7 linked regions of the Ovis aries genome follow. The protein of the gene in region 6 purifies or fractionates together with the protein of the main gene of each other region. This does not show direct contact. Links are inferred from orthologs where the notes say so. Each region holds a gene or a part of one and is shown on either strand. Other genes may lie near its edges.

Evidence for each region.
Region 1: the proteins of EIF3B (region 6) and EIF5 fractionate together in Homo sapiens (co-fractionation; 3 studies listed by BioGRID and IntAct, with this or other methods). This does not show direct contact. The link is inferred for Ovis aries from reciprocal best matches to the Homo sapiens genes EIF3B and EIF5.
Region 2: the proteins of EIF3B (region 6) and EIF3K purify together in Homo sapiens (affinity purification with mass spectrometry; 7 studies listed by BioGRID and IntAct, with this or other methods). This does not show direct contact. The link is inferred for Ovis aries from reciprocal best matches to the Homo sapiens genes EIF3B and EIF3K.
Region 3: the proteins of EIF3B (region 6) and EIF3I purify together in Homo sapiens (affinity purification with mass spectrometry; 12 studies listed by BioGRID and IntAct, counting the BioPlex papers as one, with this or other methods). This does not show direct contact. The link is inferred for Ovis aries from reciprocal best matches to the Homo sapiens genes EIF3B and EIF3I.
Region 4: the proteins of EIF3B (region 6) and EIF3G purify together in Homo sapiens (affinity purification with mass spectrometry; 12 studies listed by BioGRID and IntAct, counting the BioPlex papers as one, with this or other methods). This does not show direct contact. The link is inferred for Ovis aries from reciprocal best matches to the Homo sapiens genes EIF3B and EIF3G.
Region 5: the proteins of EIF3B (region 6) and MTOR purify together in Homo sapiens (affinity purification with western blotting; 3 studies listed by BioGRID and IntAct, with this or other methods). This does not show direct contact. The link is inferred for Ovis aries from reciprocal best matches to the Homo sapiens genes EIF3B and MTOR.
Region 7: the proteins of EIF3B (region 6) and EIF3D purify together in Homo sapiens (affinity purification with mass spectrometry; 10 studies listed by BioGRID and IntAct, with this or other methods). This does not show direct contact. The link is inferred for Ovis aries from reciprocal best matches to the Homo sapiens genes EIF3B and EIF3D.

The regions. Positions count from the first base shown.
Region 1 is NC_056071.1:65,730,199-65,733,253, forward strand, and holds part of EIF5 (eukaryotic translation initiation factor 5), read left to right. Parts: intron 1-483; exon of another isoform or gene 484-610; intron 611-979; coding exon 980-1,122; intron 1,123-1,384; coding exon 1,385-1,543; intron 1,544-2,010; coding exon 2,011-2,172; intron 2,173-2,433; coding exon 2,434-2,598; intron 2,599-2,895; coding exon 2,896-3,030; intron 3,031-3,055.
Region 2 is NC_056067.1:47,756,294-47,760,398, reverse strand, and holds the start of EIF3K (eukaryotic translation initiation factor 3 subunit K), read right to left. Parts: upstream 2,801-4,105; 5' UTR 2,727-2,800; coding exon 2,668-2,726; intron 1,771-2,667; coding exon 1,672-1,770; intron 1-1,671. Other genes in the region: MAP4K1 (mitogen-activated protein kinase kinase kinase kinase 1), read left to right, coding at 4,050-4,105. UniProt on the Homo sapiens protein: Component of the eukaryotic translation initiation factor 3 (eIF-3) complex, which is required for several steps in the initiation of protein synthesis.
Region 3 is NC_056055.1:235,308,604-235,312,713, reverse strand, and holds the start of EIF3I (eukaryotic translation initiation factor 3 subunit I), read left to right. Parts: upstream 1-1,310; 5' UTR 1,311-1,347; coding exon 1,348-1,350; intron 1,351-1,443; coding exon 1,444-1,536; intron 1,537-2,770; coding exon 2,771-2,858; intron 2,859-3,160; coding exon 3,161-3,226; intron 3,227-4,110. Other genes in the region: TMEM234 (transmembrane protein 234), read right to left, coding at 779-930, 1,212-1,227. UniProt on the Homo sapiens protein: Component of the eukaryotic translation initiation factor 3 (eIF-3) complex, which is required for several steps in the initiation of protein synthesis.
Region 4 is NC_056058.1:12,527,644-12,531,674, reverse strand, and holds the start of EIF3G (eukaryotic translation initiation factor 3 subunit G), read left to right. Parts: upstream 1-1,231; 5' UTR 1,232-1,281; coding exon 1,282-1,301; intron 1,302-1,449; coding exon 1,450-1,496; intron 1,497-2,091; coding exon 2,092-2,175; intron 2,176-2,283; coding exon 2,284-2,372; intron 2,373-2,516; coding exon 2,517-2,576; intron 2,577-3,744; coding exon 3,745-3,849; intron 3,850-3,953; coding exon 3,954-4,031. UniProt on the Homo sapiens protein: RNA-binding component of the eukaryotic translation initiation factor 3 (eIF-3) complex, which is required for several steps in the initiation of protein synthesis.
Region 5 is NC_056065.1:41,653,575-41,657,732, forward strand, and holds the start of MTOR (serine/threonine-protein kinase mTOR), read left to right. Parts: upstream 1-1,358; 5' UTR 1,359-1,454; intron 1,455-3,523; 5' UTR 3,524-3,564; coding exon 3,565-3,726; intron 3,727-4,158. UniProt on the Homo sapiens protein: Serine/threonine protein kinase which is a central regulator of cellular metabolism, growth and survival in response to hormones, growth factors, nutrients, energy and stress signals.
Region 6 is NC_056077.1:41,264,714-41,268,213, reverse strand, and holds part of EIF3B (eukaryotic translation initiation factor 3 subunit B), read left to right. Parts: intron 1-557; coding exon 558-630; intron 631-1,379; coding exon 1,380-1,502; intron 1,503-2,345; coding exon 2,346-2,424; intron 2,425-3,068; coding exon 3,069-3,207; intron 3,208-3,500.
Region 7 is NC_056056.1:180,582,333-180,586,603, reverse strand, and holds the start of EIF3D (eukaryotic translation initiation factor 3 subunit D), read left to right. Parts: upstream 1-1,471; 5' UTR 1,472-1,597; intron 1,598-4,108; 5' UTR 4,109-4,118; coding exon 4,119-4,241; intron 4,242-4,271. UniProt on the Homo sapiens protein: mRNA cap-binding component of the eukaryotic translation initiation factor 3 (eIF-3) complex, a complex required for several steps in the initiation of protein synthesis of a specialized repertoire of mRNAs.

The sequences.
Region 1 (3,055 bases), on a different chromosome or scaffold from region 6:
TGAAAACAGTGGAAGTGTCTTTACCGCTATATAGAATAAGGTTAATCCTTGAACACCTGTGCAGGTGAAAGTTTGCTTATAATAAGGTCAGCCCTGTGTATACAAGGATCAACCAACCAACAGTGAATAGTGTAGTACTGTAGTATGTAATTATTGGGGGGTGGGGAACTCCATGTAAATGGATCGGTGTGGTTTCAGCTTAACATTCAAAAGTCAGCTGTTTGATGAACCTGCTGTTGTATGTACTATTAAAGGTCAAGTACAGGCTACCATTAAACTCAACCATATCCTCAATTTTTAAGACGTTTTAGGATGTATGAAATATTGGACAAATTGTGATGGGGTCATAGTAAAGATCTACTTCTGGAATTGTTCAGTTGCTAAGTTGAGTCGGACTCTTTGCAACCCCATGGATTGCTTCTGGAATACTCATTTGTACATGAGGGCCTTGGCTCAGTAGGCCAGAGTGGCTTTAGAGCATGCAAGCAACACTCTGTGGCAGATAAATCAAAATTGTCTGACACAATTTGAGCTTGCTATAGCAAAAAAGTCTAACCTATTCCGGTGTTCTCTTTTCTGTGAGACTAGCCGTTACATAGACTTGAACACAGTTCTAGTTTTTGGCTGAAGCATAGTTGAGAATACCCTTGTTGATCAGTTTATGAGGAGTGGAAAGAGAGGGTCATGAGTGCCAACTTTCAAGTACTTGTGTGGTCTGTTTTTCATTGTTGAGTTGCTACATGGCATCCAACTCTTAATTTTACTAAAACAGCTAATACCTCTGATATTTACTGGCTTTTCTTTCTTAGACTCAGTTGCCTACCTATGAAACATAGTGGATGAATTTGATTTATGAACCCTTTTAGAATTATAGGTAGCATTTTCTGTGGCTTTCTGAGGGCAGGGTTTTAAATGTTAATGGTGGGCAATGAGGTATAATATAACTCATGGTACTCAACTTTCCTTTTTATCCGTGTAGAGAATAGTGACAGTAGCACAGGAAAAAAAGAAAAGGAAAAGAAAAATAGAAAGGGCAAAGACAAGGAAAATGGCTCCGTTTCCACCAGTGAGACACCACCACCACCACCACCACATGAGATCAGCCCTCCTCCACATGCTGTGGTGAGTGCGAGGCTCGAGGGGGGCGGTGGGCACTAACATTGTGTGAAATGTGACCTTTGGTTGAGGTGTGCAGAAACAAACTGCTTTTCTGTGAACAGCGTACCAGTACGTTGGGTTCCAGATGCTTATTGGTTGATTAGAAGTAAATAGAAATTTAGTGAGAAAATGATAATTTCACTAGAAATCTGGATTTTTTTTTTTTTTTTTTTTTTTTTACACCTTTAAGGTCTCTTTGGCCAAGCATTTTTGTTATTAAAAACAGGAAGAAGAAGAGGATGACGACTGGGGGGAGGATACAACAGAGGAAGCTCAAAGGCGTAGAATGGATGAGATCAGTGACCATGCAAAGGTTTTAACCCTCAGCGATGATTTGGAAAGGACTATTGAAGAGCGAGTCAATATCCTGTTTGATTTTGTGAAGGTAAAAACATTGTGTTGATCAGTAAGTCAGCTTCTACCCAGTCTTGAGGTTTTACTAGATATTTATTACCTTAAGCTGTTTGTTCAAAAATTTTTTGAGGGTGGTTCCAGGCAGTTTTTGGCAAGTGTGTATTTAGAAGTTCTAGAATCTTAAGTAAGGGAAAGGTTCATCAGAGTAGTGACTATGGTGCTGTGCTTAGTCACTCAGTCGTGTGCAGCTCTTTTGCGACCCCATGGACTGCAGCCTTCCAGACTCTGGAATTGTCCAGTCCTGAGTGGGTAACCGTTTGCTTCTCTAGGGGATCTTCCCAACCCAGGGATCAAACCCATGTCCTCCTGCATTGCAGGCAGATTATCTTTAGTATCAGAGCTACCAGGGAAGCCCCAGGGACAGTGCAAAATACGCGTCTGTCTCACTGAATTGCTTCTTTTGGTTTTTTTTTTAAACTTGCTTCCTTTTATTTGCAGAAAAAGAAAGAAGAAGGTATTATTGACTCATCTGACAAAGAGATTGTAGCTGAAGCAGAAAGACTGGATGTAAAAGCCATGGGCCCTCTTGTTTTGACTGAAGTTCTTTTTAATGAGAAGATTAGAGAACAAATTAAGAAATACAGGCGCCATTTCTTACGAGTAAGCGAATTGTTCTGTGTTCATAGTGAGATTTGCAGATGTGTGACTTTGGAAACACCATTTCAACCTCCTGTTTGTTCTGTCATCCTGAAAAAATGGAAATAACTGACCTACCTTAACAAGCATGAGAGTATCTGGAAAATGCTACATGTGGTCCTGTATATGTGAAGTAAATTAGAAATCTTTAAGCATTGACTCCTTACTGTTATAGGGCTGTCGCATCTAAGAAAGCTTGTTAACACCAAGAATATCTATTTGCAGTTTTGTCACAACAACAAAAAAGCTCAGCGGTACCTTCTTCATGGTTTGGAGTGTGTGGTAGCAATGCATCAATCTCAGCTCATTTCCAAGATTCCACATATCTTGAAGGAGATGTATGATGCAGACCTTTTGGAGGAAGAGGTCATCATTAGCTGGTCGGAAAAGGTGGGGAATATATTGATAAGCTCTTAAAGATTAGGATTGGGGCTTTTTTGGAAAAAGTTTTCTAACACCTAGTCTCTACTTGCTTGACTGGTATAACCTGTAGGGTGATCCCCACCATGGTAGCTTCTAGTAATGACCAAAGAAAATCTTTTGCTCTTTGCTGAATACGTTTAATCTGTTGAGAGTTTGAGATTAATATGTATTCCAGTCTCCTCAAAGGATGGGTATAGACAATTATGTATAACTCAAGTTACTGTTAAGTTGTTTGAACTAAAAGTTTTACTAAACGTTTTTTAGACCTCTAAGAAATATGTCTCAAAGGAACTTGCCAAAGAGATTCGTGTTAAAGCGGAACCTTTTATAAAATGGTTGAAGGAAGCAGAGGAAGAATCTTCTGGTGGTGAAGATGATGATGAAGATGAGAATATTGAGGTAAACATTGGGGAAATTGTTAAAT
Region 2 (4,105 bases), on a different chromosome or scaffold from region 6:
ATGACAACCAACTGCGGCCACACAGGAGAAGCGTGGAGCTCACAAACCCAGGGCTGAGTGCAAGCTGCCAGACGCAGAAGAGCTCCAGTCGTGCAGCTACTCTTATGTTCAGTTCAAAGCAGGCAAACCTGCGCTAAGCGAATCAGGATGTGTATGTGTGTACATGCGCCTGCAAGCGTGTGGTAAATTCACACAAAGCCAGGCCACGAGAGCACAGGAGTGGTCACCAGGGTCATCAGGTCAGCGTGGTTGGCACAAAACACATGGGGCAAAGGACAGGGTGCTAGCAACACCCATTTTGCAGTTGGGCTGCTGATTACATAGGTGTCCATTTATAACTCCACGTTAAACCATATACTTGCTTTCTGCAGCAGCCTGTATGTGCGCTTTGTTATGATTTTTATTTATTTTTTTTTTTACTTTTTGGTTGCACAGCAAGGCCTGCGGGAGCTTAGTTCCCCAGCCAGGGATCTAACTCGTGTCCCCTGCAGTGGAAGGCTGGAATCTTAACTGCTGGAGTGCAGCCCCTGTAACTAAGTTTTCAAAAACCATCCCTCCTCCTGCCCCTACTTCCTGGCTCCCTAGTCTTGCACATTCTATCCAAAACAGATAAAGAGGTCATACAATTCAATACCAAAAATCCCGCAAAACCCTGTCAGAAACTTCTGAATAGACGCTTTTTTTTTAAAAGAAGACAGAGATCGCCAACAGGCAATTGAGAAGATGCTCAACATCACTAAACATCAGGAAAATGCAAATCAGAATCACACACTTGACAAAATGGCTATCAACAAGAAGACAACAAATAACAAAACACCGGCAAGGATGTGGAGGAGAGAACGCTTGATAGTGTCATGTCAATTGGCACAGCCACCGTGGAAAACAGTAGGGAGGTTCCCTGTAAAATCAAATCTAGGACTACCACATGATCCAGCAATTCCACTCCTGGGTATGTGTGTGTATATAAATATAAGTAAAGAAAACAAACACTAATTTGAAGTGATACAGGCACCCCAGTGTTCTCAGGAGCATTATTTTCAGTAGCCAAGATCTGGAAGCAACCTAAGTGTCCACTGACAAATGAATGGATAAAGAAGATGTGGTACATAGAAACACATACACACAATGGAATATTATTCAGCCATTAAAAAAAAAAAAAGGAAAAAGAATGAAAATTTGCCCTTTCAACAACATGGATGGACCTGGAGAATATTACGCTTAGTGAAGTTAAGTCAGACAGGGAAAGGCAAATACCACATGTTTTCGCTTATATGTAGAATCTAAAGAATAAAATGAAAGCAACAAAACAGAAACAGAGAAGCAAACTAGTGGTTATAGATGGGAATGGGGTGGGGGAGAGGTGAGATAATGGAAGGGGATTAAGGGGTACGAAATATATATGAAATAAGATACAAAGTCACAATGAACAGCACAGGGGCTATGACCCCCATTATATAAGAACTCTAAACGGAGTATAACCTATAAAAATACCCAAACACTATGTTGTACATCTAAAACTAATATAACATTGTAAATCAACTAGATTCCAATTTTTAAAAAAGAGAGAGAAGTCACATCCTGGAGGTTACCCCTCACTCCCACCCCACCCAGTGCTGGGAGTGGCAGGCTGCTGACTATGGGAACCGGGTGGGAATGGAGGCAGATACTCACAGTTTCAGGACAGCCAGGTTGGCTTCCAGATCATAGGCATTTTCCTTGGCCTGTGTCTCCACATAGCGCTCCAGGGTGGCCAGGTTCTCAGGGTTGTACCTAGAGGAGAAACAAGATGAGTGAGCAGAGACAAGAGCTGAGGCCAGTCACTCCCATGGGGTAGGAGTGGGGGCGACTGTAGCCTGCTCCTCCTTCTCTTCCTTTCCTCCCTCCCTCCGTCACTGGCCACTTGCTCTACTCAAATATTGAATCAGCTCTATAATCTCTGATGAAACTTATCCATATCCCTGACCTAAGCCCCAGCTCTAAACCCCATCAGAGCCCTGGGTCTTTTCTGAAAAATGTCTTTTCAATCTCTCAGCCAACCAGCCCTTGCAGCCTGTACATCTGCCCTCCTGGACATCTTTGATATCCACCCCTTTCTCCCATCCCCAAACCCCACTCTGGTGCAGCCCATTCTCTCCTGCCTAGTTTTCCCCATCCTAGCCCCCACCAATCTACCTATGTTTCCCCCATCACCACCTTGACCACTCCTGGCTATCACTGTCTACCGTCCGGTTTATCTGAACTAGAAACTCCATGAAAGCATGGCCAGTGGCTGTCTTTGGTTATCTCTGGTCCGCACCATTGCCCAGAATTCACAGTGTAGATTTCAGTAAACATGTGTTCGATGAATGAAATTAGGGGGGGAAGGGGAGCCACGAAGAGGCACTGAGAGGCTCAGTGAGACTGAGGAGCAGAGAGAAAACAGAGGGGCTGAGAGAGAATAAGTTAAGCAGAGAGGGCGGCCTTAAGGCAATTAAAGCGGACTGAGCGGCAGGCAAGGCCACCTCTTGCCTTTAGGCCTATACAATGCTGTTTTCTTAAACAACTGCTCCAGACTGACTGAAAAATCCCACCCCTGGGCAAGCCCAGGATGCTGACCACCTCTTGCTGACCCCAGAAAACCCTCTCCTCCACGCTGGCCAGAAACGCTCCCTCCGACCGGGCTCAGACCTGTCGATCCCCTTGAGCAACTTGCCCACGTTCGCTCTCATCTGCTCAAACATCGCCATGACTGCTGCCGCCTCCCACACCAGGCCTAAGGCCGAAGACCCTGCCGGCAAAGCGTCCTCGAGGACCGGAAGAGGAAGAGTTGGTGGAAACGGAAACTACGTAATTGTTTTCTCTCCAGCCCCGCGGTGAATCGTGCTTTGGGTCTAGCTGCGGCTGCCACGCTTTCCGGCTGCCGCGTGACTTCTTCCCAGCCGGCGCAGTTAGCGCGTGCGCATACGCTCTACTCGAGCAGAAGCTACGGCGCGAGAAAAGACCTAGTCTAACCAAGTGCGCAGGCGCCTTCTCGCGGCGAGGGGGCGGGACTAAGCTTTTCCCGGGCCTCGCGTATCCAGTTATAGACCCTGGCGCGTGAGCGCGGACTTAGCGGGAAGTAGACTGATCCGTGACGGCGTGCACGGGCTGTGAACTCAAAACTGCTGGGGTTCCATCAGTACAATCCTTTTGGTCCATGGGCATGTGCCGAAGAAGGTGCCCTCTGAGGTCCCCTTGGCCTCTGAGGAAGGATCCTGAGCTTCGCAGTTTTAAGTCGTGAACCTGGTCCCCCACACTTCACCCTAACGCCGAGGGTAGTGGCCCGCAAAGCTGTTGTGCTCAGCTCGGCAGGGGCGGAGAGAGGGGCTCGTGGACCCCGCTAGATCACGCCCAGTCCCCATAGCTCCAGTTCTGTGGGTGAAGGCGAGCGCTCCGCATGTGGCATCCCTAGTTGTGTGTTCAGATACTGCCCACTGCAAGCATGACTGAACATGCATGTGTCATATGTGTATATGCTCTGGGTATATCCACATACGTGCACACGGGTATCCAGGAGTGTGCACGGCGACTGGCCTGCGCGCCGCACGGGGAGTTACCACTAAGTGCCTGTATGTGTCCCGGGTGAACAATGATGTACATACACTACATGGTCATCCCGGTGTAGACCTGCCATCTCCAGGTTGTGGCCCAACACTCAGCGTTCAGCAGAGGTTCAAATGTTTTTAGCCACTGCCCATAACGGGGGAGGGTGAGGGCACCCTCCAGGTCACAATGAAGATAGTTTGCATCTGGTTTACATGCAGCCCAGGGCCCCGGAGGTGGAGGGGGGAGTCCCCTGGGTCCCAAGGCAAGCTGCCCCTCACAGGCTGTCAGGGCCCAGGGGACAGGGGGTGGAGCCGCTGGCTGCACAGCTCTGTGCCGGGGCAGGAAGCGAGAGTGGGGAGGGGGGAGGCCACAGCCGGTGGAGGCAAGGCGGGTGCAGGGCGTGTGGGGAGGGAGGGAGGTGCCAGCATTCGGAGCCCTGAGGCCCTGCTGGCCCCTGGGCGCAGGCCCAGCTCCGGCCCCCAGGAATGGACCTCGTAGACCCTGACATCTTTAACAGGGACCCCCGGGACCACTATGACCT
Region 3 (4,110 bases), on a different chromosome or scaffold from region 6:
TGCTTATCTGAGCAGGGCTGCCTTCTTTGAGCTTTGAGATAAGCCTTTCCTTGGAGGGAGGGGTAGCTGTAAGGGCTAGGGCCCAAGCCATCTGAAAAGGACCCTTCCAGGGCAGAGGGAACATCACTGACTGAACCCCATGCCTTTGCCCTGAATGCCCTCCCCCTCAGCCCGGCTGGTTTCTGTCCTCCCCATCCTGCAAGTCCCTGAGCGCCAGTGTTCCTCTCTCCAAGAAACCTTCCCTCAGTCGCCTAGCTCCAGCCTCCCTCCTCTGAACTCACAAAGCACTTTGTCTGTACCTCACTCAAAGCCCTTACCCCTGAGAGGCAGTTGTGTCTATGACTTTCCCACCAGCCGAGACTGGCAGCACTGAGCTCAGAAGTAGTACTCTAGATTCTCCCTTATGCCCCCCTCCCCAGGGCCAATTTAAGCCCTAAGCCCTCCCTCTGGAAAAGTCTGTTGGAAGGATCACCATAATAAAATATTACTAGCTGCTCAGGGCATCAGAGACTTGAAACCTAATTATAATATGTATAAGGCCCACTGCTAACTGCTTTAGTGCCTCACCTCACTTAACCCTCACAACTGCCCCGTAAGACGGTTACCCTTATTATCCCCATTTTACAGATGACGAAACTGAGACTCAAGGCAAACAAGACTCATCCAAGAGCTTCTGGCGAGTAAGTGGTGGAGCACAGATTTTGAGCCTGATCTGTTTGACTCCAGAGACCAAATTCTTAGCTGCTACCCTCTAGAGAGGACTCATTCACAGACGCACCTCGGGATTCAAGAACAAGGTTTTCATTTCCTGCAGCAACTGCCGGGCCCAGGTCCGCTCATGAACCTGCTGCAGGCGAGAGGAGGCCCGCTTCAGCAATGGCTGTGTGCCACCCCACAGAGCGGCCACTAGCACCAGAGCCAGCACCTGCCCTGGATGGAGAGACGAGTGACATCCCCCGCCGCCCCACCGCACGGCCTTAGCCCTCCTCCGGTCTCCCATTCCCACCCCGCCGCTCCCACATCCCTTCTTTGCTCTCCGACGCCCCGGGTCTGATTGGCGGGTAGGACAGGCCCCGGGAAGCCGGGGAGATGGATCCTGGAGCCCAAGTTCGGGGTTGTAGCAAGGGTCGGGGTTAGGTGGTGGAGGAGGGAGTAAGAAATGAACTTGGGATAGCAGTCTGGAAGCGAGGGGAGGGGCGGGGCCCGCTTACCCAGGGTCGCCGCCATGGCAACGCCGATCCTCTCCACTTCCGGGAACAAAGGGGGCGGAGACTCGTAATCCGGAAGTGGCGCCAAAGCCTCTTCCGGTTCTACTCACGTTGCCGCTTTCCTCGCGTCACCGCCGGAATGGTGAGTTCTCCTGTGTTAAAGGTATTGCCGTAGGGGTCCGTGCTGGGGTAGGGGCCAATTCTGGGCGCTGACACTGCCGTCCTGTCCCCACAGAAGCCGATCCTGCTGCAGGGCCATGAGCGGTCCATTACTCAGATTAAGTACAACCGCGAGGGAGACCTCCTTTTCACGGTGGCGAAGGACCCTGTGAGCGTCGGCCGAAGGGCGGGCCCGCCGGGACCTTGCGGAGGGGGCTCGGGAGCGGGCGCGTTCATTCTCCCGGGGCGAAGGGTGGACAAGCTAGTTTTGCTGCGAGAAAAACCGAGGAGTGCCCCGTTCTGAGAAGTAGGGAGAGATCAGCCCGGGGTTTGGAGGGCAAGAGCATTACACCGATAGATGTGGGAAAGGACTCCATTGTTGATAGGAGGGAGTAGCCAGGGAGAAGAAAAGCAAGGGTACCTTGTGGAAAGGGGACGGGGACGTGGGTCATCTTGCTCATGGGGCGGAGAGGAGCTCATTCCGGGGAAGAACAAAACTATTCTACAAGGATAGGGGAACAGACCACCTGGAGAAGGGGGAAGTTGATCCTGGGGCGGCGAGGATAAAGACCTTAAAGAAGGTGTCCTTGGTATCATTTCAGTCATCCCTCTTCCTGCCACTCACTCACTGCAAACAGCCCCTTTGAGTACTGCATTTTGAGGCACCTCCATATGGAGAAAGTTAACCCTAGTGGCTAAACGTGGGGGCTGACACACCTGATTTGAATCCTGAGTCCTGTATTCACTAGCAGTGTGACTTTGAACATGCCATTTAACCATTATAAACTTTAAGAGCCCCTTTTTACAAAATATGGGTAGTAATAGTACCTCCCTCTTGGGGTTGTCTTTAGAATTAAATGAGATTATTCAAATAAAGAGCTTACTTGAATAAAGAGTGTTTGTGAGTACCATATTAATGTTAGACACATTTTAAATTCCTTAGACATTATTTTATTGGAGTCTCACAGCTACTCTTTGAAAAAGGCGTTATTGTCCTGGCCAGTTTACACGTGGGAAAACTGAAGTTCAGAGGGGAAAAGCACACATTTCAATAATACAGTGAGATAGTAGCAGAGCAGGGACTGGAACCTAGGTTTCTCTCCTACCAACGGCTCCTGTTTGGACAGAACACCAAAACACTACTCTTTTGCTAGGCTGATACTCAGCTTGACCTTTTATTCCTCAAAGGGTTTAGGAGTCTGGGGAAAGGCTGGTATGATGGAGACTTTTTCGCAAGCAGGAGGAGAATCCAGGAGTTGGTCTTTTTACCAGCAACCTGCTGTTCCCCAAGAGATGAGCTGGGGAGGGTCGAATCTGGCCTGGCTAGAAGCTTCTGGGGCAAAATAGGCCATGGCTCTGCCCACAATGCCTATCATCCTGTCACATTGTCCTTGATCCTCCAGATTGTCAATGTATGGTACTCTGTGAATGGTGAGAGACTGGGCACCTACATGGGCCATACCGGAGCTGTGTGGTGTGTGGACGCTGACTGTATCCTTATCTTTGTTCTGAGTCTGTGCTACCAGGGTCTGCCAGCAATGGAGAAGCTGCTGACCTGAAGCTGAGAGTTTGAGATGCTCTGGTGGGGTCTGGAGAATGATGCTACCTACCTCCTACTCCTTGGTCTGTTCACTATTTCGGGGAACATTTAGGACAGGTTCCAGTTCTGAATGAGGAGGTTAGGATGAGAGAAGGAAGGCTCTCTGGTGCTGAATAGGGAGATGATTCACTTGGCCTTCCAAGAGGACAAGGACTCAGGTGAATTCTGTTATGCTTCTTAACACCCTCTTCAGGGGACACCAAGCATGTCCTCACTGGCTCAGCTGACAACAGCTGTCGTCTCTGGGACTGTGAAACAGGTAAGCCTGGATCCTGCACTTTTTCAGCAAACAGTGAGGACCTACAATATACTTATTGAGGTCAACAGGTTCTGGGGAAATAGAGATAAAACCAGAGATGGTTCCCAGTCTAGGGAAAAAGAGACAAGAAAATCAGGAGACAGAGATGAAAAGAGGCACTCCAGTGAGATATAAGCCTTGTTAGAGGTAGCACAGTGCACTATGAAAGCTGAGGGGGAGGCACCTGAAGCCTGAAATGGGGATGGGATCAGCCCGGGAAGGCTTCCCAAAGCAAGTGTCATGTGAGGCGATAGCTGTGGCAGATGCAAGAGTGGAAGCACAGCAAGTGGCACGTCCAAGTCATCTGATCTGGCAGGAGCTCCTGCTTCTCGGGGGTGAAACAGACAGCAGTGGAGAAGCTGAGGCAGGCTAGGGCCAGACGGGCCTTGAATGTGAGCTCAGGAACATGACTGTTCTGTAGGACTTCATGCTGGGGAGGGTCCTGAGCAGGGAAGAGCCTGTTCAATTCTTTTTTTTTTTTTTAATTTTTGGCCACACCCTGTGGCAACTGGGATCTTAGTTCCCTGACCAGGGATTGAACCCACACCCCCTGCATTGGAAGGCAGAGTCTTAACCACTGCTGGGGAAGTCCCCAAGCATGTTTAGCTTTGGCAAGCCCAGGTAGCAGTGGGGAACATTGCAGGAACAGACAGAAGACAGGGGAGCCTATTGAACGGCTCCATTTAGGAAATATTTTCTGGGTACCCAGATCTCTCCCAGGTCTTTGCTGGGCACTGGTGACATGCAGAGAAGTTAGAGCAGGTCTTTGCTATGGAGAAGCACATTCTCCAGAGGTGGAGACAGATACAATGTCGTCCGTTGTGAGTGCCACAGTGGCGGGATGT
Region 4 (4,031 bases), on a different chromosome or scaffold from region 6:
TTGGTCAGGGAACTAGTTCCCACGTGCCACAACTAAGACTCTATGCAGCCAAATAAATAAAAATAAATATTTTTAAAAATGTTATATATGTTATATATATATACATGTATATATATGTAATATATATATAAGAGACTATGATCTTTAGTCTAGTTTTTAAAGTCCTTTATAATCTGGTTCCTGTCGGTTCCAAATACCCATGAATTGAGCACTTATCAAGTGTAGACACCCTGAGGGTGCTGGGGACCCAGAAGTGAACAAAGCAGGCAAATGTGTTTCTGCAGAAGTCTGCAGCAGTTTTTACCATTTTTTTCATTATCATCCCTCTAAAGGAGAAAAATGGAATTATCTTCCATTTAAATCAGTGTTAATCTAATTACATTTAATTTCTCCCTAACAATAGAAATTAAATGTTTAGAAATAAGATTTTGTCTGGGAGGGTTGGCTTTGGAGGCCACAAGTCATTGTCATCTCCAAGTTGGTTTTTTTTTTGTTTGTTTCTTTTTTGCCACAGAACAATTAATTTTGGTCCCCTTGGGAGTCATATCACTCCCACTGAGAATGCATACAGTAGAGGGAACGCTGGACAATAAGCAATAAATTAAAGAAAATGGAAAAGATTATATCAGGGAGCCAAGAATGTTACTAGGAATTCCCCGGTGGTCCAGTGGTTAAGACTCTGCACTTCCACTGCAGCGCCCAGTTCTGATACCTGGTTAGGGAATTAAGATTCTGCAAGCCTCACAGTGCGGGGGGGGGAGTTACTCAAGGAGGGAGAATAGTTAGGGGGTGACTTGATATCTTGATCATTTGAATCAGAAAAGTTATTTCCAGGCAAGGAAGACCAGTTTTGGTTTCTTCAGCTGAAAAATGGAAACGATAATTTCCTCCTCACAGTTCCTGCAAACAGTCAGAGCTATATAATTGAGCTTTATTGTCATTATTTTTAATTTTTAAAAAAAGTAAAAGAAAAGGTCCGGTGGTTAAGATTCAGTGATCCCAATGCAGGCCCTCCTGGTCCAGGAACTAGATCCTACATGCCGCAACTAAGACCCAGCGCAGCCAAATAAATAAATAAATAAATAAGATTTTCAGGTAAATGAGCCGAGCCTCTAATAGTAAGATACCAGGGCCCAGCCTCTCACATAGGCGGCGCTTCTACCTCCGTCCGTAGGGGGCGCTGTGGAGTGCTACGGCTGCTCTAGGCAGCGGAGCCGGAAGTCTCTTTCACCTCTTACTTCCGGTCTTTGGCCCAGGCTTGGGCTGCGTGGAGATTTTGCGATGCCGACCGGAGACTTTGAGTGAGTCAGGGGTCGTGGAGGGGGTTTGGTAAGCAGACCGGGGATGGGGGGCGGTCCTAGGAGTTAATATAGAGCCTGGGTGCGTTGAGGCCGCGGGAGCTGGGCCTCGCCTCACTCATCCCTCCTTTTGACAAACTTGTCCCCGCAGTTCGAAGCCCAGTTGGGCGGACCAGGTGGAAGAGGAAGGAGAGGACGGTGAGTCTACCTTGTCGCCTCGGATCACCGCAGCCCGGCCTCCCCCCGCCGCCCCAGGCCGTCACTGCTGCCTGCTCTGATCCTCCACCCTGGCACCGCCGTCAGACCCTGCATCTCCCCTCACAGCCAGCCCCTGCCCCGCGCCACTCTCATCTGGGCCAGCCTATCTCCAACTCCATACGTTCACCAGCCAGCCCATCTTCTGCCGTGCCACCGCCCAAGTCCTTGATGCCAGCACTTCTGCTTCCCTGCTCCTGGCAGGAAATTGTTTAACAGCCACACTCCTGCCTTTGTATTAATACTATTGCCCGGATGCCTGTGGCCCTCCCCTTCCCTCAGGCCCTCAGGCCCTCAGGCCCTCAGGCCAAGGATCCCCTTCCCCTTCTCATTGCTGGAAGTTACTACCGGCCAGCTCCGTGTCCCTGAATGGCTATCCCAAGACACTTCCTGGCCAGTCCTCTGCCCTTGGTCCCACCTTTCTCAGCTCCTGGTGCAGGCATCATCCCAAAGGTCCCTTGATTTCAGCTTGGGAGTTCCTGTCGCTGCCCACCCCTACCCCCCAGCTGACCCCTGCTCCCTCCACTCCCTGTCACAGACAAATGTGTCACCAGCGAGCTCCTCAAGGGGATCCCCCTGGCCACTGGGGATACCAGTCCAGAGCCTGAGCTATTGCCGGGAGGTGAGTGCCCGACTTCACTCCAGCCCTGGGCCGTCTCTCTCCCCAGCCTCCTTCCTTCTGGTCCCTATTACCCAGGGCTCAGTTCCTTTGTCTCTTCCTCTCTCCCAGCTCCACTGCCACCTCCCAAGGAGGTCATCAATGGAAACATCAAAACAGTGACGGAGTATAAGATAGATGAGGATGGCAAGAAGTTCAAGGTGAGGCTGGGGAAGAGGTGGGAGCCCTTTGCTTGAGGGGCACTTGGACTAGGGAGAGAGTGGTGTGTTGGATGTCTTGATGAGGAAGATCTGCTAGGAACCTTGAGGAGCAGAAGGCCCAAACGTTTCCCCTCCTATCCACAGATCGTCCGCACCTTCAGAATTGAGACCCGGAAGGCCTCAAAGGCTGTGGCAAGGAGGAAGGTAAGACCCTTCTCCCCCTTCCTTGGGGGCTCCTCCAGGGCTGACTCAAAGAAAAAATAGGAGTTCTTTTCCCTATTGCCTTCATTTTTAGAAGTGGGGTTTAACTGTTTGTTAAACAATTTCCTGGTGGCTTCCCTGGTGGCTCAGTGGTAAAGAATCTTCCTGCAATGCAGGAGATGCTGGTTCATCCCTGGGTCAGGACGGTACCCTGGAGAAGGGGATGATTACCCACTCCAGTGTTCTTGCCTGGAGAATTCCATGGACAGAGGAGCCTGGTGGGCTATAGTCCATAGGGTCGCAAAAAGTTAGACATGATTGAGAGACTGATGCTTTTTTGTTTCTTTCTAATTGTTTGGTTGCACCACACAGCATGTGGGATCTTAGTTCCCCGAGCAAGGCTTGAAACCACACCTTGTGCATTGAGAGTGCGGAGTCTTAACCACTGGGCCACCGGGGAAGTCCCCTGGGTGTACCTCTTCTGTTGGAGCAGAACTGAGGCCTGTGTGCAGTCCGTGGGGGCCCTGAAAAGTCCAGCAGGTGCAGGAGTGGGAGCGGAGGGGTTGGTTCTTACTTCTCTCGGCTTGTCGCCTGGGAGGAACAGAGCCAAAGCCCTCCTGTGAGGTGGTCGTAGCAGCAGAAGTGATGGCAGTAAATACGTTTTGCACAGTTACCTACATACTCGGTGTTAGACTCAGGTGCTTCGTGGGAAGTATTTTCTCATTCATTCCCCTAGCATTCCAGGGAGGTGTGGGGAGCATTGTGGTCCCTTATAGGGGAGGATGCCAAGGTACAGGTTGTTTAAGGAGCTCAAGGCCCCTGGAAATCTGGGTGATCCTGCACACCCCTGAGTATCACTCGGTGGAAGCTGGTCAGCCCCTGCCAGGGGTTGTTGGCTCTGGACCTGTTTACCCCTGAGCCTCAGTTTTCTCATCTGTAACATGAGGCTGAGAGCTGCCCCTACTCTTGGAGCTGGCATGGAGCTGGGGCCTGGCATGCCCTCAGGGAATAGCAACTGTCATCATCGCTTCTCCAAGGAGCATTTGAGGGCGGTGAATAGGGTTCAAGACTCACTCACCCTCAAGGTGGCTCTTGTTAAGTCTAGGGTGCAAATGGAGGGGGTCCCACTTGTCCTTGCCCTGACCTGTCCCCCATCCTGCCTTGAGCTCAGAACTGGAAGAAGTTTGGGAACTCAGAATTTGACCCACCGGGGCCCAACGTAGCCACCACCACAGTCAGCGATGATGTATCCATGACATTCATCACCAGCAAAGAGGTAAGTGTGGTGGCTGGCAGGGGGAGCCAGTGGCCAGGGTGTTACTGGAGGCAGCAGGGGAGCAGCTGAACTACCGTCTGAACTGCCACCACCTGCCCTGCCAGGATCTGAACTGCCAGGAAGAGGAGGACCCAATGAACAAGCTCAAGGGCCAGAAGATAGTGTCCTGCCGAATCTGCAAG
Region 5 (4,158 bases), on a different chromosome or scaffold from region 6:
AAGATCATGGCATCCGGTCCCATCACTTCATGGCAAATAGATGGGGAAACAGTGGAAACAGTGACTGACTTTATTTTTCTGGGCTCCAAAATCACTGTAGATGGTGATTGCAGCAATGAAATTAAAAGATGCTTACTCCTTGGCAGGAAAGTTATGACCAACGTAGACAGCATATTAAAAAGCAGAGACATTACTTTGCCAGCAAAGGTCCATCTAGTCAAGGCTATGGTTTTCCAGTGGTCATGTATGGATGTGAGAGTTGGACTATAAAGAAAGCTGAGCCCCGAAGAATTGATGCTTTTGAACTATGGTGTTGGACAAGACTGAGAGTCCCTTGGACCGCAAGGAGATCCAAACAGTCCATCCTAAAGGACATCAGTCCTGGGTGTTCATTGGAAGGACTGGTGTTGAAGCTGAAACTCCAATATTTTGGCCACCTGATGCGAAGAGCTGACTCATTGGGAAAGACCCTGATGCTGGGAAAGATTGAAGGCAGGAGGAGAAGGGGACGACAGAGGATGAGATGGTTGGATGGCATCATTGACTCAATGAACACGGGTTTGGGCGGACTCCAGGATTTGGTGACGGACAGGGAGGTCTGGCGTGCTGGGATCGCAAAGAGTCGGACATGACTAAGCGACTGGACTGAACCGAACTGTGAGATATTTAAACTTTTTCAATGTTTTTTAAATAATGGACGGTGATTTTTAAAAAATGAGACGTAGTCAAATTCTATTTCTGCTATTGATTTTCGAAAGGATTTTTTTTTTTTAATGATACAGCTTCGAAATTATTTAGTCACAAGTAGCTCATTTAGTTCAAATTTGCCTATTGTTTCTGGTGAATGATCTTGGGAGCTAGATAATATCGGGAAAGTGGGGGAAATATAACTAAAAATGCTTTTAAATGCGAATTACATTTCACAGAAGAAAAATCATGGATACACTAGCGCTAGTGTGCCGGTTTCGCTCACACAGCGCTCTCGAAAACTAAATCTGGGGTCGCGAACCTCCGCCTAATCCTTTGTGGTCCCATCCCACCGTACCCAGACAGCGAAATGGGCACCGCCAAGGGCCAGGTGCAGTGGGGAACTTTAGTAACGACGCACCGGATGTGTGCGTGGAAGTGACTGAAGTCAACTCACGAATGATTGGTTCTCCTGAGAGGACCTAAGCCTCCTTTCTCCTGCCACTGGCCACGGGGTTTGTCTATTTGAACAGTCCCCGCCCCCTGGAGAAGCCGGTCCCGAAGCCTCACTTCTCCTAAATGATTATTGGCCTGTATTCCTGTCTATCTTCTTCTTATGGCCGTCGATTGGTCGTCAGGGCTAGGAGTACGCCCTCCCTCCCGCCCGGCTTAGAGGACAGCGGGGAAGGCGGGTGGTGGGGACCGGGCCCTGAAGCGGCGGTACCGGCGCTGGCGGCGGCAGCTGAGGCCTTGGCCGAAGCCGCGCGGTGAGTCTGGGGCCTGGCACCGACCCCTCCAAGGCGGTGGAATGTCCAGACCCACGGCTAGCCTGGTCCGTGGGGGCACCCCGGGAAGCCGTCCATCTGGGACTTGGGGTCCCCTCAGTACTGGCCCCACGGAGTTGGGCGCCGCCGGAGCCCTTGACCCTCACTCCGCGAGGCTACGCCCACTTCCTCCCGGACCTCCAGGAAACCCCCGGACCCTTTAGCCTAGCGTGTGTTTCTGGCGCCAGAAGGCCGGCCCATCAGCTCCTGTATTGCTGGGGCGCCTCTGGGTCTCTGCCCGTCTGTCAACCTTTCTTCTGAGCCACCTACACATTGTCCTCGGAGAGGACCAACGTCAGTGTCAGCCCCTTGCGCTTCACTGTGGATGCCTCTCAGGGACCCATTTCCCGGAGCTGAGCTCGGTTCCACCCTGAGTTTCATCCTCTCTGCTTCCCCCGCCACCATCCCTAGTTTGGGCACCTGGCTTCAACTTCTGAAAGCCCTCGCCAAGACCCTTCGTATATTTAACTTCTAGTATTTTCATTGAATTCTGCCTGGAGCAGATAGCCTTTGGGCCTTAGACCTTATGAAGGTAGGCTGATTCCTTCCTGAGACTGGAAATTCCTTGCTTGCCTACCCCCCCCCCCCCCCCCCATCACTGCCAAGTGCACACTCTCTGTAGTAGTTTTCTCCTCTGGAATTCTTGGGTTTCCTCAGCCCTAAAGTCTGACACTTCTTTCTGCAGTCGTCTTCTTGATGCTGGAGAATTTAAAAGCTTTTCAGAATCAATTATTACTGTTTTTTACCCTTCTGGATTTCACAAATTCTTTCAAAATAAGAAATTTTGAAAATTTTATTTTCTATTATAACGTGGACATGCCCAGGATAGGTGTATATGTTACTGCCATGGCAGTCTGGGCCGAGCTTTATCATAGCCACTGCATTATGGTCACTTGATTATTTGTGTTTCCCCCTAGATTGTAAGCTTATTGAGGGAAGGAACAGTACATAATTCAGGAATAAATGAGTGATCTCAGGAACAAATCAGTCTGTCTTAGCTCACGTTCCAGCTACGTTCCATAGGGCAGAGACTTCCCTGACAGTCCAGTGGTGACGACTCCTTGCTTCTAATGCAGTGGGCACAGGTTCAAACCCTGGTTGGGGAAGTGAGATCCCACATGCTGCAGGGCAGGACCACAAAATAAGAACAGAAAATAATAAAAAATTTAAAAAATACAGAACTGTGCTGCCCAATACAATAACCATCAGCCACATGAGGCTTTAGAGTGCTTGAAATGTGACTAGTCCAAGTTGAAATTGACCTAATTATAAAATGCACACTCGATTTTGGTGACTTGGTACAGAAAAAAAGAATGAAAAAAATGTCAATAATTTTTTGTATTGATAACATGTTGAAATGATATTTAGGATATATTGGGATTAAATGTGTTCATTTTTCTTGTTTCTTTTTATGTTTTCCATATGGCTACTAGGAAATTCAAAGTTACGTTTGTGATTCATATTGCTTTTGGGCAGTGCTGCTATAGAATAATAAACAGTGCCCCTCTTTAAATTTTCCTCAAGGAAAGGGGCAGTCTTAGGCATGCTTATTTTCCCTCTGTCTCCCCACTCTAGTACCTGACTGTGCCATGTATGTAGTAGTCATAATGATAATCATAGCTAGTAACTATTAACTCACTGTGTGCCTGGCACTGTTTTAATCATTTTTTAACATGGGTTAACTCACTTAATCCTCACGTCAACCTTATGAGTTAGGTACTATTATCCTCTTATTACAGTTAGGGAAACTGTTAAGTATCTTCCTCAAGGTATATAATTTTGGACTGAATTCACACTCAGGTAAGTCTGGCAGCACAGCCCATCATTTGACCTATGCTACTGTGCTGCCTCTTTTAAACATCAGTCATCGTTGAATGGCTCAAGGCTCTTTGCATGTTTTTCAGTGAGGTCTCCCAACCTTGTTTGGCTCCCCAGCTTGACTTGGGTGTATGAAGATCTGTGTTGAGGAGCTGGGACCATATATAAGTTCATTGCCATGGTTTGTTATTCAGAATATTAAAGGAAGCATCTCTCCAAAGAACCTCAGGGCAAGATGCTTGGAACCGGCCCTGCCGCCGCCACCACAGCTGCCACCACATCCAGCAACGTGAGCGTCCTGCAGCAGTTTGCCAGCGGCCTAAAGAGCCGGAATGAAGAGACCAGGGCCAAAGCTGCCAAGGAGCTGCAGCACTACGTCACCATGGAGCTCCGAGAGGTTCGGACTGTTGTCATTGGGCCATTCATCATGGAGTGTTGGGGCTACCTGTACCATCCCTGGGTTAAATGCCTCTTGACAGCTAAGTGAGAATTCAGAAAATGTAAAGATTCCATTTCAGAAAGGCGCCCAGTTTCTCCTGTCCATAGAATGTGCGGATTCCTTTGCAGCAGTTACACATTTCTGTGGCATTTCCTGTGGTGTGGTATTTTAAGAGTCAGCATAGAGATGGCTGTTTCTTTTCTTTTTTTTTCTGTTTCATGCCACATTCCAGACCTTCCACTCTTTCTACCTGATAATAGTGGTTGGCATGGCTTTGAGGAGTTGGTTGCTTGAGGCTTTCTAAACAGTGACCAGACTTGAGGTCAGGGACAATGTCTTGTTTGTCCTTATACCTCTGGTACTAGGTAGAATCTAGGACGGTGGGTGGCC
Region 6 (3,500 bases):
GCAGCCTTCCGTGTCTGGCCTCCTCCCCTGAGCGCGGGGTGCAGGCCCGTCCAGGTGGCGCCCTGAGCTCGTCCCTCATCGTTTCCACGGCTGAGCCTGTTTACTGTGTTATATCGTGTTTGCCCATTTATCCTTTGGTGGGCATGTGGGTTGTTTCCACCTTTTGGCTATCACGGATAATGCAGCTTTTTACATGAACATAGCTGTTCCACTGTTTTGAAATAATAGTTGGATCAGTCCCAGCTGGTGGGCCTTCGGGACACTACAGAAGGTTTGCAGAGAGGTCACAATATGGATCCTTGGGCCCGTCTGCTGGAGGTGACCTCAGGGCAGGTCTAGGGTCTGGGCTGGGGCCGAGGGACCGCTGCTTCTCCGGACACTGTGCCCGTCTCCGCCTTCATCAGCGTTTGAGAGCTCGTCTCACCACTTCAGTCACTGCCAGTTTTCACGTCTCTAACAGGCGTATACGTTTAATCTTTCATTAACTTAAGTTGTCCTTTGAGTCTTCCTCATGCTTGGTTTTCAGAATGCCACCCCTTCTTTTTTCTTTTAAACAGGGTGTTGTCACAAATTTTGAAATTTTCCGGATGAGAGAAAAACAGGTGCCTGTTGACGTGGTCGAGATGAAAGGCAAGTGCCTCCGTCCTGTCCTGAGGTTGAGTAGCTGCCGAGCTGTCACGCCTACTCGTAGCGCTTCCCTGCGAGTTCACAGCCAGGCAGGCTGGCTGAGGCCAGGCGTCTCTGTGTTACAGAGCCTACGTCGGGTCACGGTTTCTCTGTCCTTCCCAGCTTCAGTCTCTTAGCCTTTCCAGTTGCCAGGTGAAGAGACGCCCCCTTTTTTTCATTCACACCATGTGATCTGCTTACATAGCAGAGGGACACAGGTTCGAGCCTGGTTTCACGCTTAGAGAGTGTGAAGAGCAGGTTTTCATCATACACCCAGCAACGCAGCTAAGAGCTTGTCCTCTTACATAGGAAGGTTCTCAGTTGAGTAGCGGTATTTTGGGTTTTTGGACTCCTAAAAACTGGAGACGCTGTCTCTGCCTTTAGGTGGAACGTTTGGCGTGTATATCCTGTTTTGCTGGGGAGAGGAGGAAGGGAAGGGAAGGTGCTGCCTGGGAGAGGGCATGACCCCTGTGTGCCGTGCGGAGAGTGAGGGGCACATCCACAGGCCGGCCCGCCCGTGGCAGGAGCCTGGGGTAAAGTGGGGCCCGCCCGCCGGCCACGGCGGCTCCGCAGGGCTCAGCGTGCTGTCTTTGTGCCCGTGCTGCTTGTGGGCCTTTCAATGAACCTGAGAATCTGGGGCATCTCTTGTTGAGCAGCCTTAACGGAAAATGACGTTCTGTGACCAAGGAGCTCGCCCTCTCTTCTGGCCCTAGAAACCATCATTGCCTTCGCTTGGGAGCCGAACGGAAGTAAGTTTGCTGTGCTGCACGGGGAGGCGCCCCGGATATCCGCCTCCTTCTACCACGTGAAGAGCAACGGGAAGATCGAGCTCATCAGTAAGCGGCCGAGTGGGAGCCCAGGGGCAGAGCTCGGTTACTGCTCCTGGGAGAGTGCTTGGCTGGACAGAGCGTCCTGTGGGCAGCTGGTGGTGGGCGAGGGAGTTTGCTGCAAAGGACGGGCCTTCTGTGCACTCCCGAGCGGCGGTGTGTGTGACATCGTCATTCTGTGATGTCGCCAACTGGCTGTCACAAAACTGAGTGTATTATTACTTCCCTTTGTCATGAAAGGACATTTGGACAGCTGAAGAGTCATGGCCTCCTGTTGTAAAGTAGGTTATGATGCAGCAAGCGTACAAGTGCCTCTGCTTTCCAGGCACCCCGCAACCCTGCCTCCCCTTGCAGGGTCAGCCTGCAGGCCACCACAGTGCTGGGGACTGCTCAGGATCCTTTCCATCCTGCCCGTCCCTATCAGGGCGGTGCTGCCCCCCTCCCCACCCTGCCCCTCCCTCCTGAGTAAAGAGATGAGGGCCAGGCCCCACCCCTTCAGGAGTGAGCATTGGGTTGGCATTGGGAGAGATGGTGGAATTAGCTTCTTTCAGTTAAAAAGTGAGTCGCTAGAATGGATTTCTAGGCTGTTGGGGTCACGTATCTCTGAGAATCTGGGGGAAACTGGACTCCTTGCCCTGGTGGTGCGTCCCCACGGTGACACTGCCTGCGTGGGGTGTTTTGTCTGATTGCACCGTCAAGTGCAGTGCTAGCGTTACTTAACGCAGCACCGCAGTTTCAGAACCCCTCCAGGCCCCCAAACTACGAGGCGCGGCGCCTCACAGAGTCCCGTGTGCACACCCGCGGGGTGGCCCTGTCTCGGCTGCACGCTGACCTCTGACCCTCTCCTTCCAGAGATGTTCGACAAGCAGCAGGCCAACACCATCTTCTGGAGCCCCCAGGGGCAGTTCGTCGTGCTGGCTGGCCTGCGGAGGTGGGTTCCGCTGATGCCCTGTGCGGGGCTGGGGGAGACCGTGACCCCGGCTCTGGCCCCGAAGGTTGCTCTGCCGCCTCCCTGCGAGTGCGGGGCAGGTGCTCCCAAGGGCGTCCCGGCCTGGGTGGATCGTGCGGTGTCTCCATCCTGCTGCCCAGACGTGGCCAGGACCAGGCCCCTTGCAGACGCTTCCACCGGGGACTTCGGAACGCAGGACCTCCTCCTGGTGGCCCAGTCCCCCGGTGTAAATGCCGCGCGTCCGTGTGGGAAGGGGGTTTGGTCAGGCTGGGAGCCCGTCTTGCCCTCTGCTGGGTGTGCCCACGAGCCTCTGGGCGTTCACCCCCTTGCTCCCCACCTGGCTGTGCAGCAGGCTGTGCAGAGCCTGGACAGGGGTGCGGGGCCTCCTCTGGGCTGGCGGGGCTCCCCGCCTCACTGTGGGTGCCTCGCGCTGGGGTTTGGCAGCTCAGCCTCTGCCAGCCTCTCCTCTGGGAGCCTGTGTTCCCTGTGCGTCATCTGTGTCCCTGTGGGCATTGCCACGTCCACGATCAGGCGGGACAGTGGGCTCCCGAGCGCAAGCCTGCTCGCCCGAGCTGGGGGCGGCACAGACGCGGCTCTCGGTGACGCCAGCCGCGCTGTCTCCCCAGCATGAACGGCGCCCTGGCGTTTGTCGACACCTCGGACTGCACGGTCATGAACATCGCTGAGCACTACATGGCCTCCGACGTGGAGTGGGACCCCACTGGGCGCTACGTCGTCACCTCCGTGTCCTGGTGGAGCCACAAGGTGCGGGGGTCCCGAGCGCCCTGCCTGCTCTGCCTCAGGGCCTCGCCCTCACCCCAGGACTGCAGTTCTGGGTGGTGGGGCTTCCGGCCGTTCCGGGGTCCCCAGCCTGGTCCCTCTGTCCCTCCCCGGTGTTCGCATGGGCCCCCACTCCACAGCGTGACACGCCTTCATTGTCGTTAGCCATTCGCTGTCCTCTCTTCCTGCTGGCTTGAGCCGTTAGGAGGACGGGCCGTTTCTCCCGAGCCACATCCCCAGCATCTGAAACTGCTGGCACATTGTCAGCCTTCAGTCAG
Region 7 (4,271 bases), on a different chromosome or scaffold from region 6:
CCGGGAGAAATATCAATAACCTCAGATATGCAGATGACACCACTCTTATGGCAGAAAGTGAAGAGGAACTCAAAAGCCTCTTGATGAAAGTGAAAGAGGAGAGTGAAAAACTTGGCTTAAAGCTCAACATTCAGAAAACAAAGATCATGGCATCTGGTCTCATCACTTCATAGCAAACAGATGGGCAAACAGTGGAAACAGTGTCAGACTTTATTTTGGGGGGCTCCTAAATCACTGCAGATGGTGACTGCAGCCATGAAATTAAAAGACGCTTACTCCTTGGAAAGGAAGTTATGACCAACCTAGATAGCATATTCAAAAGCAGAGACATTACTTTGCCAACAAAGGTCCGCCTAGTCAAGGCTATGGTTTTCCAGTGGTCATGTATGGATGTGAGAGTTGGACTGTGAAGAAAGCTGAGCATCGAAGAACTGATGCTTTTGAACTGTGGTGTTGGAGAAGATTCTTGAGAGCCCCTTGGACTGTAAGGAGATCCAACCAGTCCATTCTGAAAGAGATCAGTCCTGGGTGTTCTTTGGAAGGAATGATGCTAAAGCTGAAACTCCAGTACTTTGGCCACTTCATGCGAAGTTGACTCATTGGAAAAGACTCTGATGCTGGGGAGGGATTGGGGGCAGGAGGAGAAGGGGACGACAGAGGATGAGATGGCTGGATGGCATCACCTACTTGAAGGACGTGAGTTTGAGTGAACTCCGGGAGTTGGTGATGGACAGGGAGGCCTGGCGTGCTGCAGGACAAACTCCGTAGGCTGAGTTTCCAAAAAGACAGCACCGTTGCCATCGTAGCCAGGTGGTTCCTGAGTCGCCACTTCAGAATCACCACCAATTAAAATGCAGGTTTCTGGGCTCCAGCTAAGCCACGCTTGTATAACAGTCTATGGAAGGGGACCCGGAATCTTCATTTTTCAAATTAGCTCTCCAGGAATCTTTGTCAAACAAGAAAGTCTGAGAACTGTGGAGGTATGGTTTGAACACTGGCAGCGACCTCCGACACTAGTAGTCTGATCTACTCAGGTCACTTTGCACCTCCTGGTCTGTTTCCGAAAGCGCTCAAAGCTCAGCGAGTAGCCGCAAAAACCTGCCTGAAAGACTCGAACTCCCCCTAACGGTGAAACTCAAACAACACGATCTTTTAAAGAAGGCAGAAGCCGCGGGTCGTTGTGGGATACAGAGGGCCAGAGCGGCCCGCAAGGCATTGTGGGACATAGAGGGGCTTTCAGCCAGTCGCCGCTTCCAACTCCAACTACAAGGCCGCCACGTTTCAAGAAACTTGAAACTCTCGGAGTGTCGCCGGATGCCCCATGACGTAACTGTAAACATCCTCGAAGGCTAAATAAGAACACCGCGAAGAGAACAGGGACGAACTTCCGGATGTGCCTTCGCTTTACGACTCGCGTGTTCCGCCGTCGAACCGGAAGGAAGCCAAGAAGCAGTTTACGACACCGTCGGTCGTATTTACGGTGCCGGCCGCTGCGCGCGCATGTTTCCTCCTTTCCCGGTTCCCCGTAGCTCAGGCGGTGGCGCGGTATTCGGCCTAGACTATCTCTCACCATCGGGGCCGGTTACGGCCGTTACAGGTAAGCAGCGTATTCCGTACGCTTCCGCGGATCTCCAGAGCAGAGTTGAGCTGCGCCTGGCCTTCGGGGGCCTGCCGGAAGAGACTTCCGTACGCCCCCTCCTGCTTCCCTGTACCTCCGCTGGGAGGGGCAGGAATCCGCCTTCGGTCCCCCCAGGTCCGACCCAGTGCGGGGCAGAGCCTGTGGTTGAGGTCTCTTTCCGTGGAGTCCGCTTAGCGGCCACCGACAGTGTGTTCTGATGTGAACATGTCATTAACCCCGCTGAGTCTCAGGGTCTTTTAAAGTGCCCCACGGTTCCCTGAGCTTCTACGAGAGGGCTATTGGGTGTGCCAAACTGAGCGATGTTCGGCCCTGCTCTGAGGAGTTCACCGTCTAAATGTTTCTTTTCCTTGCCTATGAAATGGAAGGCTAGGATGTAGTTGGTTGATCTCTGATTTGACATTAACCGCCCAGGAATTGGCAAACGATCTGCAGTAACCTGCCAGCCACAAGGTTCTCCCTATGACTGTCCTGTTGATGCCGCCCCATCCTTTATCTGTAGCCAGTACAGCTGTCACTCCGTTTCAACTGAAAGATTTAGTTTCCCCTGTTGGTTACATTGTACTCTGCCTACTTTTTAGTTTACGCGTTGAAACCAAGCGACTTCCTTCCGCCCCTTTTAAAGTGTGTTTGGAGATATCTCACTGTGTTATTGATATGATCTGAAACCCAGGATCTTTTCAGGCTGCTGTCCAGCTGTAAAATAATGGGAAGAGTGTTACACTTAAGACAGAGGACCCTAGAAACCAAGTCTATCTTGAAATGATGAGATCAGCTGCTTGATTTGGCTGAACTGTGTATTTTTTTTTTAATCTGAAATTGGGGCCTAGGGGTTTAGTGGTGTTGCATCTGACATGTTGTAGGACCCTGGTAATATATAAGGGTATATTGTTTTGAGACCACCACACTCTCCCTCAGTCCGCTTCCTGTAGTGTAATTTAAGTTTAGGTAGGAGGATGGGGCTTCCAGGTTCATGCCCTTTTGGATCACGCAAGTGTCACCTCTAGGAACTCTCCCCATCATGGGAAAATGAAGAGAGTTTCATAAATTTAGTATTCTTTGCTCTTTGATTGATACAACTGAGCGACTTCACTTTCACTTTTCACTTTCATGCACTGGAGAAAGAAATGGCAACCCACTCCAGTGTTCTTGCCTGGAGAATCTCAGGGACAGGGGAGCCTGGTGGGCTGCCATCTATGAGGTCGCACAGAGTCAGACATGACTGAAGTGACTTAGCAGCAGCAGCTCTTTGATTGCTCCCCAGACTCTGGAAATATTTGTGTGGTGAATTTTCCCCTGGGAACTCAGCTTCTGGGCATTTTCAGGGGATTAGAATGGATGATAAATGCATGCATGAGTTTTGGGGAGGAATTGTTTGGCAGATATCTGTCGAGCCCCTGGTTTTTACTCTTCCTGAGCGGAGTACTGGCCTTACACAAAGTGTGGACTCTGAAGCCAGTTTCCCAGGGTTCAGATTTTCATCCATTAGTGTTGCAACTTTGGGCGATTTCTTGATATCTCTGTGCCTCAGTTTTCTTCTCTGGAAAGTGGGGCTAATACTGGCCCTACCTCGGGAGGAGATTGTTGAGGAGTTAATGAATTAATGTGTGGAAAGCGCTAACAACATGCCTGGTACTCATAATGTTTATGAACATTGGCTGTGTTCGGCCACTTTCATGACATAAGGCTTCTGGCTTCCTCAACCTTCTGCTGGGCTTTCTGCCTGACTTCTATGCCCTGCATAAGAATTTACACTGACAACAGAAAATTGAAAGAACAACAAAGGAAGGTTGCATTTCAGGATACATTCATGGACCCTTGTTTTTTCTCGGCACTGTGTGTAAATGTATTTTTGTAAGACAGAATAGTAAGTGTCTGGCGTTTTACAATGGAACTATTTCTGCTTATGTTAACTAATATATACAGCTTTCACAGTGATCCTCTGATGGGAATAAAACAAGGATCTTATTATTTTTCAGGTAAAGAGACTGAGGTTTAGGGGAATTAAATATTGTATGTCTGGTAAAGGTGTGAATGAAAACTGGAACCTGGTTATTAAACTCAAAAAAAAGTTAATTACATTTCATCAAGTCTGTAAGACATCACTGAATTCAAGAAGCACAATATCTTCATGTAACACTAAGAAAGAAAAGTTGCCAGATACGGTATGACACCTCATCAGTTAGAAGGTGCAGGTTCATGTCAGAGATAGTACAGTGGGAAAAAACAAATGGTGAGATATGATACATAAATTTGGTGAGCAGTCGTCTGAGTTTTAAGTATTCACAGTCTTATTCACAAGAAGATGGTAAGTGGAGAGTAGCTCAGCAGTTGAGGGTTCTGTTCTGTGTTTTGCTTTTTTAACTTTATCCTGTATTAGCTTACCTCAAATGGAAGACTTCGGGTTTTTTTGTTTGTTTGTTTTTTAGAGGCTTTTCTTCATGGAGTTACTTTGTTATTTGTATTTTTAAGGTTTTAAAAGATGGCAAAGTTCATGACACCCGTGATCCAGGACAACCCCTCAGGCTGGGGTCCCTGTGCAGTTCCGGAGCAGTTTCGGGATATGCCCTACCAGCCGTTCAGCAAAGGAGATCGGCTCGGAAAGGTGCCTGCCTGTCAGCGGGGTCTGAATCTT